Linked DNA regions of Yarrowia lipolytica. The protein of the gene in region 3 interacts with the protein of the main gene of each other region in a pairwise test. Links are inferred from orthologs where the notes say so. Each region holds a gene or a part of one and is shown on either strand. Other genes may lie near its edges. The genes, in order: YALI1_D14915g, YALI1_E23348g and YALI1_A20849g.

Region 1 (3,290 bases), on a different chromosome or scaffold from region 3:
CTCATAACCTGTAACTCCACGTCCGGGGGGTGCAGGCTACAGATTTCGAAACGCTAAAAACCGCCTTCGTGGCCAAGTGGTAAGGCGCAGCACTAGTAATGCTGAGATCATCAGTTCAAATCTGGTCGAAGGCAAATATATTTTTTTTGGCTTCCCTTTTCACGAAGACACCAGTACCGGCGGTATGGACTGCGCCCACGCGACTTTTGCTGTATGTGGGTCAGGATTTTTCTAGCGTGGGTTGGTTTGGGAGTGTGAACTTTAGTTGAGGTTTTAACTAAATTTAACAACATGGGGGTGTTGGTATTAGTTTGTTGTAGGGGTAAAAACAGCTTGATTTCCTTTTATTTTTTTGTTCAATATATTTCTACAACTGTCAGAGACATGTAAATATACGTCTAATTACCATGGACTGCTTGCATCCGTTAGACAACCCCAACAGGCAGTTCTCTTAACTAAACTTCCAACAAAGTCAACTACTGTACTTGTACTAGACCACAACCTGTAGCACACCTACTCAAGAGTAACATAATATATTGGGGTTGCTAGTTTTTTTGAAGAAACCTATCAAACCATACCATGTGAGAGGATTCCCAGAAATCATTCAAACCACTCTCGTCCCCCGTAACCGTCCTGTACTTGTTATCGCCTCGTTGCTCCATCCATTTTACATCCAATAACCACCACGGTGCTTCCTAAACCTAGAAGTCCACCAAGGTGTGTAGTGTTATCCCAATATATAATCTGTCATCAGCAAACGACATGGTATACGATACACGGTGGACACCACGATACGGAGGCACACACAGACACGGACACAGACACAGATACAGACACGGGCATAGACGCAGACACAAACCGACGAGACACAGAGACACAAATACAGATAGTATGGACAACACGGACAAACGACATGGTGGTGGAGTACGGTCATTGCACAACACACCCAGTTACCAACACTCAGACACAGAAGACACGATGAAGACAATTCCCCAATGATGAGCGAATCATCTTTTGCTACGTCACCGGTGCTGTAATTTCCGACTATCTCGTTCTATCTCATCTTTCGACAACTCGGCGATACTCATCAAGATAATGCCAATGCTATCTATCCACTATCAGAGCTTCGGATAAAAGTCGCAAATAAGAGAATAACCCAGTTTCATCCCACAGTGCTCACCTCCCCTCCCTCCCTCACCCCACTTTGATACCAGGGGAATATAGTGATATCCTCATCTCTTTCAACGATTACTACAGTTCAAGTATGTACCAACGCGATACCAATATGCCGACATCGAAGCGCTCCTGATTGATCCCACACCGTCCACAATATCCCAGAGTACCAGCAAGTACCTCGGCTGTCCCTTGACCAACGACTAGACAAATGAACAATCCCTACCCCCAAGAACAGCTCGATAACCACACTACGATATTTTCCATCGATACCCAGACGTTTCTACAACTACCCAGATGGGGCATTGGACGTTCGTCTACAGGATTACCCACATCCACCCACCATACATGCTGTCGATGCGCTTAGTAAGTTTGATGTCTCTTGCATCACAAGATCATGTCATCAGCCGCACAGCCTGTACCTCCTCACTGATCTTCAGCTCTTCGATTAGGCTTCTGTAAATGCAGCTAAAAAGTCCCGAACCCAATTTTTCCTGATTCTTGTTAATGCCCCAGTGAATCCTGCAGGCTTAGATTGGATATTCATGAGCATGGTGAGAAAAACGTGTCTAAGTGGCGCTTTTCTTTGCGTCCTCAGGGGTCTTCACTCAAAGCATCTAACCACTCACACCACTCTTGTCCTCTTTCTGCAGCTCTCGCAGCCTCCTACACCCCGCAAGCCCATTTAGCCTTCACTTACCCTACAGTGCAGTGTGAGGCCCAAGGTTTGAAATTTTTTAGAGAAGCGAGTCTTGATTTCTTGACGACGTTTGTTGTGTGAAGACGAAGAAGAAGAAAATGGAAGGACAGGCCCAGCAATTCCGAGGATACTCTCGAACATGCTTCAACTGTGAGTGTTTTGATTTTGTGGTGACAATGAGCAGACCCACGTCATGTTGTCGGGTGATATCACCTGGAGATTATGTCACATGTGTTTTTTTTCAACTTTACTAACCATCCAGGCGGTGAATTCGGTCACCAGGTGCGAGCTTGCCCCCGTGTGGGCAACCCCGTTTGCTACAACTGTGGCAACGACGGCCACATGTCCCGAGACTGCACTGAGGAGCCCAAGGAGAAGGCTTGCTTCAAGTGCAACCAGCCCGGTCACATCCTCAAGGAGTGCCCCCAGAACGATGCCATTGTCCACGACGGTGCTGCCCCCGTTGCCCCCAACGGTGAGGCCCCCATTGGTGGCGAGTTTGGCGCTCCTCGAGGCCCCTCCGGTGTCTGCTACAAGTGTGGCAAGCCTGGCCACTTTGCCCGAGCTTGCCGAAGCGTCCCCGCCGGCGGTGCTCCTCCCAAATTTGGCCGAACCCAGTCTTGCTATTCTTGTGGCGGCCAGGGTCACCTGTCCAAGGACTGCACCGTTGGCCAGAAGTGCTACAACTGTGGCTCCATGGGCCATGTTTCCAAGGAGTGCGGCGAGGCCCAGAGCCGAGTGTGCTACAACTGCAAGAAGCCCGGCCACATTGCCATCAAGTGCGATGAGGTCCGAGCTGCTTAAGCAGAGTTATGTATTATAGATATGACTGATTGAAGTGTAATAGAGTAGGGGGTGTAGTCATCACCATCACGAGCGATAGCTGGTGGTGCGAGTGATGCGAGTGAGTGTCAGTGAGAAGCGTAGAATACTTGAAACCATGTACAACGATCCAAACCAGGCAACAATAATGAGATACAGAGACATGCGATTTGAAACCACGGGAAGCGTTCGAAGCCCGAGAGAACGGATTGGCCGAGGATCAAACAGATCAGAGATGCACGAGGTACGAATAGCCCTGATTTCTGTGTTACTAGTTGAGCACCACCTGGATGTGTGCGATGGGATGGGTTTCCCCTATTGCACATGGTGGTACTTGTATGTCCAGTTGGTACCGTTCGTGAGAAAGATGGGTCATGGTACACTACTTGTAGTCATAAATGGTTGGAACACATTCAAGCCAGTCTTTTGCTGATCAGGGATCAAGTCCTGGGGTGTCTGAGAAATTCTAAAGGCTTGAGCTCATGTTGTAGTATGATACAAGTACAGCAGCAACGAGGTATCGAACAGGGTATGATCTAAAACAAGTGACTAGACTGAAGTGAAGGCAGGGTTTACGTTTCAAAAGACGAATCTG
Region 2 (5,172 bases), on a different chromosome or scaffold from region 3:
AACGGCGAAGACGTGCCCATCAACCTGGTGTTCGAGAACAAGGAGAAGGACCCCATCTCTGTGGTGGCCGTGGGAGGCACCTTCTACGACCTCAAGACCGACAAGGTGGTGGTCAGCGTCCAGGGCACCCAGGTGGGACCCATCAAGGTCGACAGCGGCAAGACCGCGGCCCTGACCCACCAGTTCGAGACCAACCTCGATGCCAAGGTCTACCGAAACGTCATCCAGGTCTACATCCAGTACGGCAACGAGGTGTACCAGGTGCACGCCTTTGACGGCCCCGTGTCGATTGTCGACCCCTATGTTTCTCCTCTGTCTTTCAAGTTCCTGTTTGCCCAGATTGTGCTGGGAATCACCGCCGCTGCTCTGGGATACTACGTTGTTAACGTGTACGCCATCCCATACGCTACCGGCACCTACGGACAGGAGAAGAAGCCCGTTCGAGCCAAGCCTGTGGTTCCTGCTGGCTCCGGCGTCAAGACTGGACCCAAGGGCTACGATGAGAGCTGGATTCCCAAGCACCATCTCGACCAGGAGAAGGTCAAGGTGAAGAAGAGAAGTTAAGCTGAGCCATGACCAAGGTTTGCGTGACAGATTTTTTCTTTTCCAAGCACACCTGTTGGTGGCGGACGTTAATGGATTGTGACACTCGTGTTGTCTGCTGACATTGATAACTCCTGCTGTCAATAGGTGTGTCCTGGTTACTTACTTGTTGATGACACTAAATAGCTAATTTATGTTGTACGTATTGCAACAGTGAAGAGTTGCGCGGCGACTCCACCGAGCGTTTTCGGGGTTTCCGAGCAGAAAAATGGATCTATCGATACTATCCCGTATCTCCGACAACGTCTGGTTGTATATGAGACATTGTTAGTTGAATAAGATGTGGTCGTCATCTAGGAGCCTAATAATACAATATATCTGCCGTTTTGGTCGTTGGAAGGCGGGAGTATGTCGAGGGACTGGTAGCTGGTGTTGAGGAGATTGTTTTGGTCAACTGTTTGCTTGATTTGGTCAAGTTTTGGTGTTGTGGTTGGTTGGTGGTGGAGATAGAACCAGTCATGAGGTTGTTGGAGGCTTTAGATGGCGCAAGTGTCTGGAAGGAGGAGTTGATAGTATTGATTTTGTATTGGCTGATTAATTCCATTGACGGATGCTATAACAATGAGTAATCAAGTCCTGAGAGTCTCTTCTTAGTCATGGCATTGTTGTGTGGAGGGACAGATGGAGCTGCAACAGATATATTACTCAACATGTTGAAGATGTTGCCAAAGGTGCTCAGATGTCGCCAAAAGGTGCTTCAGATGTCGCCCAAAGGTGCTTCAGATGTCGAATGTTCCTCCTGTCCACATCTCTGACAATCTGCGATGTCTTATTCACCAGTTGTAACAGATGCGACATGAGAAAGTTCCTCTCTAGCACTCTCTAGGCTAGTTATTCCATATTGAACATCTTCCGACATGTTTTTGTCGATTCTGTCGATTCTGTCGGTTACTTCTTCTGGACTCACTCTAGAAGCTAAGTAAATGTCAACTCCATCTGTCCACATATTAACCAAAAAACGTCTTTCTGTACCCCATACTGTCAATATTATTACACATTTGTTAAAAAATGAGCCATTTCCTATCATTTAATCCACTTTCAGCGTTGCTCAGGTTCCTGTAACCCCGAAATAGCACCCCCAGCACACGTTTTTTCTCAATTGTTCTTTCAACTAAATCAAACTTGCATTATGTAATACAAAAAACACCACTCACTCATGGACTCGTCCGGGTAAGTCGTCTCCCAAATTTGCCAGAGCCACTCAAAGTTTGAGAGTTTATTTTGTATGACAGATCCGCCATGGAAATCTAGCCAGTCAGTATAAACAGGTAACCGAAGGATTTTTTGCGCCGTTAAAGAAATTTATTGGGTATTTTTGCCACTCTCTCGAACCTCCAATTTCTCCTCTCTCGCTATCTCTTCTCAATCGCCCAACAAAGGCACCCTTCTTTCCACATCCTCCTACCCCCCCTCCTACCCTAACCCAAAATCGCACCGTAGTAGTGTCCTCTTGTCACCTCTACACATCTCAGTACACTACACCGACACCAAGACTCTCGACTCTCTCTTCGACATGTCTTTCTTCGGTATCGCACAGCCCAATCAGGGCAACGTGCAGGAGTACGAATTCGACGACACGTACGACGACAATCTTGGCGGACAGCTGGATGAGTCTGGCGACGCCTTCAACGACGAGACGTTTGGCGGCGAGGCGTCTGTGGGCCGGGATTTCGACTTCCACGGCGAAACGGCCAAAATCTCGTACGCCATTGACGAGGACCAGGTTGCCTACGAACGCCGGGCGCCTCAGCACGCCCAGATGCAGCACCAGCAGCAGCAGCATCAGCAGCGACAAGCTCCCCCTTCTCTGCAGCCCATGGCGTCTCTGTGGGGCGCTCCCGACCAGAAGGAGCGAATCATGGGCGACGAGGCCCAGCACGGCGGCCAGCAGGCCCAGCAGGCTCACCTGCAGCAGCAGCAGCACTACCAGCATGTTGCTGCCCAGCAGGGCGGTCAGCAGCCTCTGTCTCTGGAGCAGATTGAGGCGCAGCTGATGGGTCGACAGGCCCAGGCCCAGGGCCAGCAGCAGCAGCAGCAGCAACACGGTGTGCCTCCCCAGGGTCACGCTCCTCCTCAGGGCCACTTTCCTCCCGGGTACGGCTACCAGGGCTTCCCTCCTGGTTACCCTCCTCCCCAGGGACACCCCATGCAGTACCAGCAGCCCTGGCAGTTCCCTCCCCTGCCCAACCATGATCTCAACATGCAGATGATGATGCACTACCAGCAGCAGCAGCAGCAGCAGCAGGGACAGGGACAGTTCCAGCAGCCTCAGTTCCAGGGACAATCTCAGGGTCAGCCCCAGGTTCAGGTTCAGCAGCAGCAGCAGCAGCAGCAGCAGCCCCAGGCTCAGACTCAGGGTCAGCCCCCCGCTGTCGCTTCTCAGCCTGCTTCTCAGCAGCAAGCTGCCCCTCCTACCGCGCCCCTGGGCCCCAAGGAGGACAAGGCCATCCCTACCGCTCCTCAGGGCTTCCAGGGCCCTCCCCACTCGGGTCCCTACGGCTACCAGCCCGGCCCCGTGCACGTATCGCCCAACCACACGATCCCTCCCATGGATGAGAACGCGCGACTGGCCAAGCGAAATGAGATGATCAGCAAGCGAAAGCCACACAACAATCTCATGACCGGCGGTGACAAGGACTTTGTGCTGCGAGTCCAGCTCCAGCAGATGGTCACCGAGGACCCTTACAACGAGGACTTTTACTACCAGGTGCACTCGGCCATCAACGTGCGATCCAACCCCAACCAGCCGCTCGACGCCTTTGCGCGAACGTACCTGTACCAGCGGGGTCAGCGGGGCCGACGGGCCCGCGGCAACGAGAACGGCCTGCAACGTCTGCAGCAGCAGGTCCACAAGGCCGTGCAGTTTGTCAAGGACCACCCCAAGAAGGACTCCATTATCTCCCAGGGTGCTCTCGGTAAGATTCACCTTGGCAGCAACAAGGGTCCTCGACAGGCTCTCGACCTGCGAAAACGAGATGATACTCCCGACGCCGACAACTCTACTGAGGCTCCTACTGAGGGAGTTTCTGCCACCCCCGAACTTCGATCTGCTACCCCCGTGGCCACCACCACCACCACCACCGATGCCATTCGATCCATCACCACGTCAATCTCCAAGTTCAACCTTCAGGGCGGCTCGTACGTGTCTGCTAACGACAAGCGAGGTATTCTGCGGGCCATTGAGAACGTGTACATTGTGCTGCTACGTCTGGAGGCTGCAGAGAGAACCCAGCCCGAAGACGACCTGTCCGACGAGTTCCAGGTGTGGAAGGGAGAAAAAGACGCGCTGGTGACCCAGCTGTGGCGTGAGCTGCAGATTACTGCGCCCATCGACCAGGCCGACGGCTCGCTGCACCCCTTCATTGCCATGCTCTCGCATGCCAAGTGCAAGAAGGCCATTCCCCGAGTTTTCCGGCATATTTCTGCCGAGCAGCGGCTCACCATTCTGACCATGATCATGGCCCACATTGGCGATTTGGACGTGGTCAAGAATGGCCACTACAGCGGCGAGGAGTCGAACCTGCCCGCCAAGTCGCGGGAGGCCATTGAGGTCTTCTCTCAGACCGTCCTTCCTCCTCTGGTGCAGTACATTTCTGAGGCCGAGTACGGCGTCATTGTGGGTCTGCTGGAGTTGATGATGGATCGAAATGACACTGCTGCTGTTGTCAAGACCAAGGTTGGATCTGCATTTGTGACTGTTTTGATTTCCCGGGCCGAGCTGATCAACCAGGAGGGCTCTGTTTCTGCCGAAGATGAGGAGACCTGGAACCGCATTTTCAACCGTGTTTTCGGCATTGTTCAGCGCAACAATCTCAACTCCCTGTTCCCTCCTCGAAATGTGGACGATTCTTACGTGTGGCAGTTCCTGGCGTCCATCGCCTTGGCTGCGAAGATTGATCACCAACGTGTTATGGTTGACGATGTGCGGGACAAGATCTTTGGTACTATGAACGAGGCCAAGGCTCTTCCGCCAGATCTGTCGCAGCAGAAGATTAACAATCTGAACCTGTTCCTTAACGTCATGGGTCTCAATGCGACCACTTCGGAGATTGGTGAGTTGCAGGGGTGATTAGATGAGGGAGCAGTGGTTATGTAAAATAGGATTTTTGAGAAAAAGATGATTTGACCGTTTGACCGTGGTGAGCGTGTTAGATAGATAGGAGACGAGACTGCGTAGGGGCTCAGTGGAAAAGTTCATGATAGACATTGTGGAAGTGGTAGTACAACTAGACGGCGGCACGAAGGTACCGGACTGGCGTGGGAACTGGTTGGGAACCGGGGTCCCGAACTCAAGACTCTTCCAGTCTAGATTCAGAGTCGTCAACCAGGCTTCGAAGATATCCATTAGGGAGCATTTTGAAGAGTGCTGACATGGTATTGGCCTTTGATCTAGCGAAACATCTTTGGGCAAGGTCCATGAAGAGCACTGATGGTTACGCTCCAGGTCGACGGATGATGGCTACGGGACCCAGGATGCTCTGGTATGAGCACGAGGAAAAGGGAGCAGCAACTTCTGAGGTGTTTTGTCAACTTCTTGAGGTTTGTCAACTTTGAGAGTGTTTGTCAACT
Region 3 (2,823 bases):
GCTCTCGTGCAGCATCTGGTAGGGAGGCTGATGGTGGAGTGCCATGGCGGGCGGCGGGTGTTGCTGCATCTGTCTGTCGCCCTCCAGCAGATCCAGCGCAGTTCGACCGTCGGCATTGACGATATCTGTCTTGACATTGAAGTCCATGAGGGCACGGGACACCTTTTTGGCACCTGAACGGGCGAGAATATGCAGGGCGGTGTCGCCCTCGTTGTTCTGCGTGTCCATGAATTGTGACAGTACGCCTAGAGAGTGGTTCTCGCTAATTTTTGACAGCAAGATAGTCACGTAGTACTTGGCCGCGGACTGCGACTTGCTCACGTGCTGGGCAATGTGGTGAAGCACGGTTCTGCCCTGGCCGTCCACCTGAAACAGGGTGTCTTGCAAGATGTCCACCACTTTAGGGAAGGTTCTTCGGTCGTAGTTGTTAGTAAACATGATGGCCCTCGTCAAAGGTGTCTGGCCAAACATGTTGGTGGCTCGCACGTCCGATCCGGCCTTGAGCAGCAGCTCAATCACCCGCAGGTGGCCCATGGCACAAGCCCAATGCAACGCTGTATGGCCCTCCTCGTCAATGGGTCTGTGCACATCAAACTCTGCAGGTGGGTTTTCCAGGAACGCGGGGATCTTCTCGTCGTCAGCAGACACGAAGTAGTTGAGCAGGTCGTTGGTGTACAGATCCTTGGGGTCCCGTACCTGTATTGGCTTGGGCTTGGCCATCATGGGTCGAGGGTAGTTACCCATTTGTCGGTCAACTTCTTCATCGGACATGAAGTCGGACGAATCGTCAGCAACTGTGGGAGGCGATGGAGTCACGTGGTCGCTGTCGTCCAGTCCGTAAGACTGGGCCAGTTGGCTGAGAGACGACTGTCTAGAGTGTTGTGGAGTGCCTCCCATGGTGGATCCCGTTGACTGGGTGAGAGTCTCCATGCGACTGGGCTGGCGAACCAGAGGCGATCCCGTCACCTTGGTCCGCTTCTTGCGCTCCAGATTGGGTCTGTGTTTCGGTGCGGGAGGAGGTGAGCCATCCTCGTCGTCGTAGTTGAAGATGGGCGCAAGGTGTGAATCAACGTCGTACAGCGTGGCAATCTCTCTGGCCCGCTCCAGGGGGACCCACGTGCCCTGGTACTTGCCGTAGCCGCCCTGGACCTTTTCATGGACGCCCTTCTGGACCTCCTTTTCCAGAATCCGCGTTCGCTGAGGCTTGTCGAAGCCAGCGACCTTGAGGATGTGGGTAGCGTTGACCCAGCCGTCGGATTTGCGCCGCATCACGGCCACATTCTTACACTGGAACTCGTAGACGGGCACGCCCGAATACGTTGCTTTGTAGATGGACATGGTCGCGTAGTGCGTCGTCGTGTCGCGTTGGCGCAATAATGGGTTTCGGGTTTCGAGTTACCCTATGTGCTGTTTTGGACAACGAGAAAAGCCGTATGTGGGCTGGGTGTGCAGTATCGTAGCGAGGGTAATTTGGAGTCCCAGCTGGGAGGGAGCCAGATCAGCGGTTAGAGATATATAAATATATACTTGTTTGGCAGTGACAGAATGAATGTCGTGGGTGTGAGGGTTGCTTTTTTTTTTCTCTATATAAATCTCGTATGGCCTGCCCCTGGCGCTCCGCCTTACTTCTATTATCGTCTTATCCCTGCGGCAATTCCCAATTGGTGTGCACCTGAGTCCTTACAGCTCAGGTTACGTAATAGTTCCCACCACAAGCACACACCTAAACCATCATCACCCAACCCTAGCCCCAAAATATGCTTTTTCACCGCCAGCACCAACTGTCACCATAATCCACATCGATGGTGAGTATTGATACAGGCGTCCTGGGGCTCACGTGGGCCCCTCTCGATGCGATACGCACCGGCCCAACCGTGGGCAGACAGACCATGACTAACGCAGCTACCCTTATCCCTACTCAACGCAGCACAGGGTCAGCCCATGCTGGTGGAGCTCAAATCGGGCGAGTCCCTGAGAGGCCACCTGTTGAAATGTGACCACTGGATGAACCTCACGCTCAAGGAGGTCGAAGAGTTTTCTGCATCGGGCGAAAACACCGCCACCGTGTCCGAGTACTATGTACGAGGCTCCAACATCAAGGCTCTCCAGCTGCCAGACGAGCTACTGCACAGCATCAAGCAACAATACAGCCAGCAGCGGGAACAGCGACAGCGACAGCAGCAGCTGGAGCAGGGCGGCCAGTTTGGCAACCGACGAGGCAACCGAAACTACAACAACCAGAGCAACAACCCCAACCAGCGACAGCGAGGTGGAGGACGACGATATTAGACGTGTTTGTGTCCATGTTTGAACGCGAGCGCTGGCTACCGAAGGCCACGACCTTCCCCGATCTGCAGATGGCTACCATGTGTGAAGTTCCGCTTGATAGCCGCCATTCTGCCGATTAGTAATGTATTTTAGGAGATGATTGATCTAGGGGATTGTAGGTGGAGATAGTAGTAGCTGTAGACGAGTGGCGGTGATGGAATTGAGTACAATCGGCTTACGTAGGGGGACAGGCTTTGTACGTACTTGGATGATTTGGTTGCTTTCTCTGTGTCGCCACAAGTTCTCATTCGAATGTAAGTGATCACGTGGACAGAACTGTACCAGTACAAGTACAGGTGCCCGTGGAAGTAGCTTCTGTTGAGAGTTCCATTCTATTTTACAAGTAGTAATTGGTGGTGCCTGACTAGCTATAGAAGGAAACTTATCGTGGAACATGTGTGTGATAAAAAAGTTGGATGTTGGATCCTCGTCGTCGTTGAAAGTCTTTGTAGATGCATTACAATGGTTACCTTCTACCATCATACAACACCAATA

Evidence for each region.
Region 1: the proteins of YALI1_A20849g (region 3) and YALI1_D14915g interact in a protein complementation assay, tested with the Saccharomyces cerevisiae proteins (2 studies listed by BioGRID). The link is inferred for Yarrowia lipolytica from reciprocal best matches to the Saccharomyces cerevisiae genes LSM4 and GIS2.
Region 2: the proteins of YALI1_A20849g (region 3) and YALI1_E23348g interact in binary tests that used the Saccharomyces cerevisiae proteins (3 or more experiments, as listed by UniProt). The link is inferred for Yarrowia lipolytica from reciprocal best matches to the Saccharomyces cerevisiae genes LSM4 and PAT1.

The regions. Positions count from the first base shown.
Region 1 is NC_090773.1:1,489,572-1,492,861, forward strand, and holds YALI1_D14915g (uncharacterized protein), read left to right. Parts: upstream 1-1,971; coding exon 1,972-2,023; intron 2,024-2,135; coding exon 2,136-2,677; downstream 2,678-3,290. Other genes in the region: YALI1_D14910g (uncharacterized protein), read left to right, coding at 1,471-1,631, 1,690-1,954. UniProt on the Saccharomyces cerevisiae protein: May act in the sexual differentiation pathway.
Region 2 is NC_090774.1:2,332,715-2,337,886, forward strand, and holds YALI1_E23348g (uncharacterized protein), read left to right. Parts: upstream 1-2,116; coding exon 2,117-4,672; downstream 4,673-5,172. Other genes in the region: YALI1_E23325g (uncharacterized protein), read left to right, coding at 1-564. UniProt on the Saccharomyces cerevisiae protein: Activator of decapping that functions as a general and active mechanism of translational repression and required for P-body formation. First decay factor recruited to mRNA, at a time when the mRNA is still associated with translation factors.
Region 3 is NC_090770.1:2,083,951-2,086,773, reverse strand, and holds YALI1_A20849g (uncharacterized protein), read left to right. Parts: upstream 1-1,802; coding exon 1,803-1,805; intron 1,806-1,902; coding exon 1,903-2,289; downstream 2,290-2,823. Other genes in the region: YALI1_A20855g (uncharacterized protein), read right to left, coding at 1-1,338; YALI1_A20839g (uncharacterized protein), read left to right, coding at 2,723-2,823. UniProt on the Saccharomyces cerevisiae protein: Component of LSm protein complexes, which are involved in RNA processing and may function in a chaperone-like manner. Component of the cytoplasmic LSM1-LSM7 complex which is involved in mRNA degradation by activating the decapping step.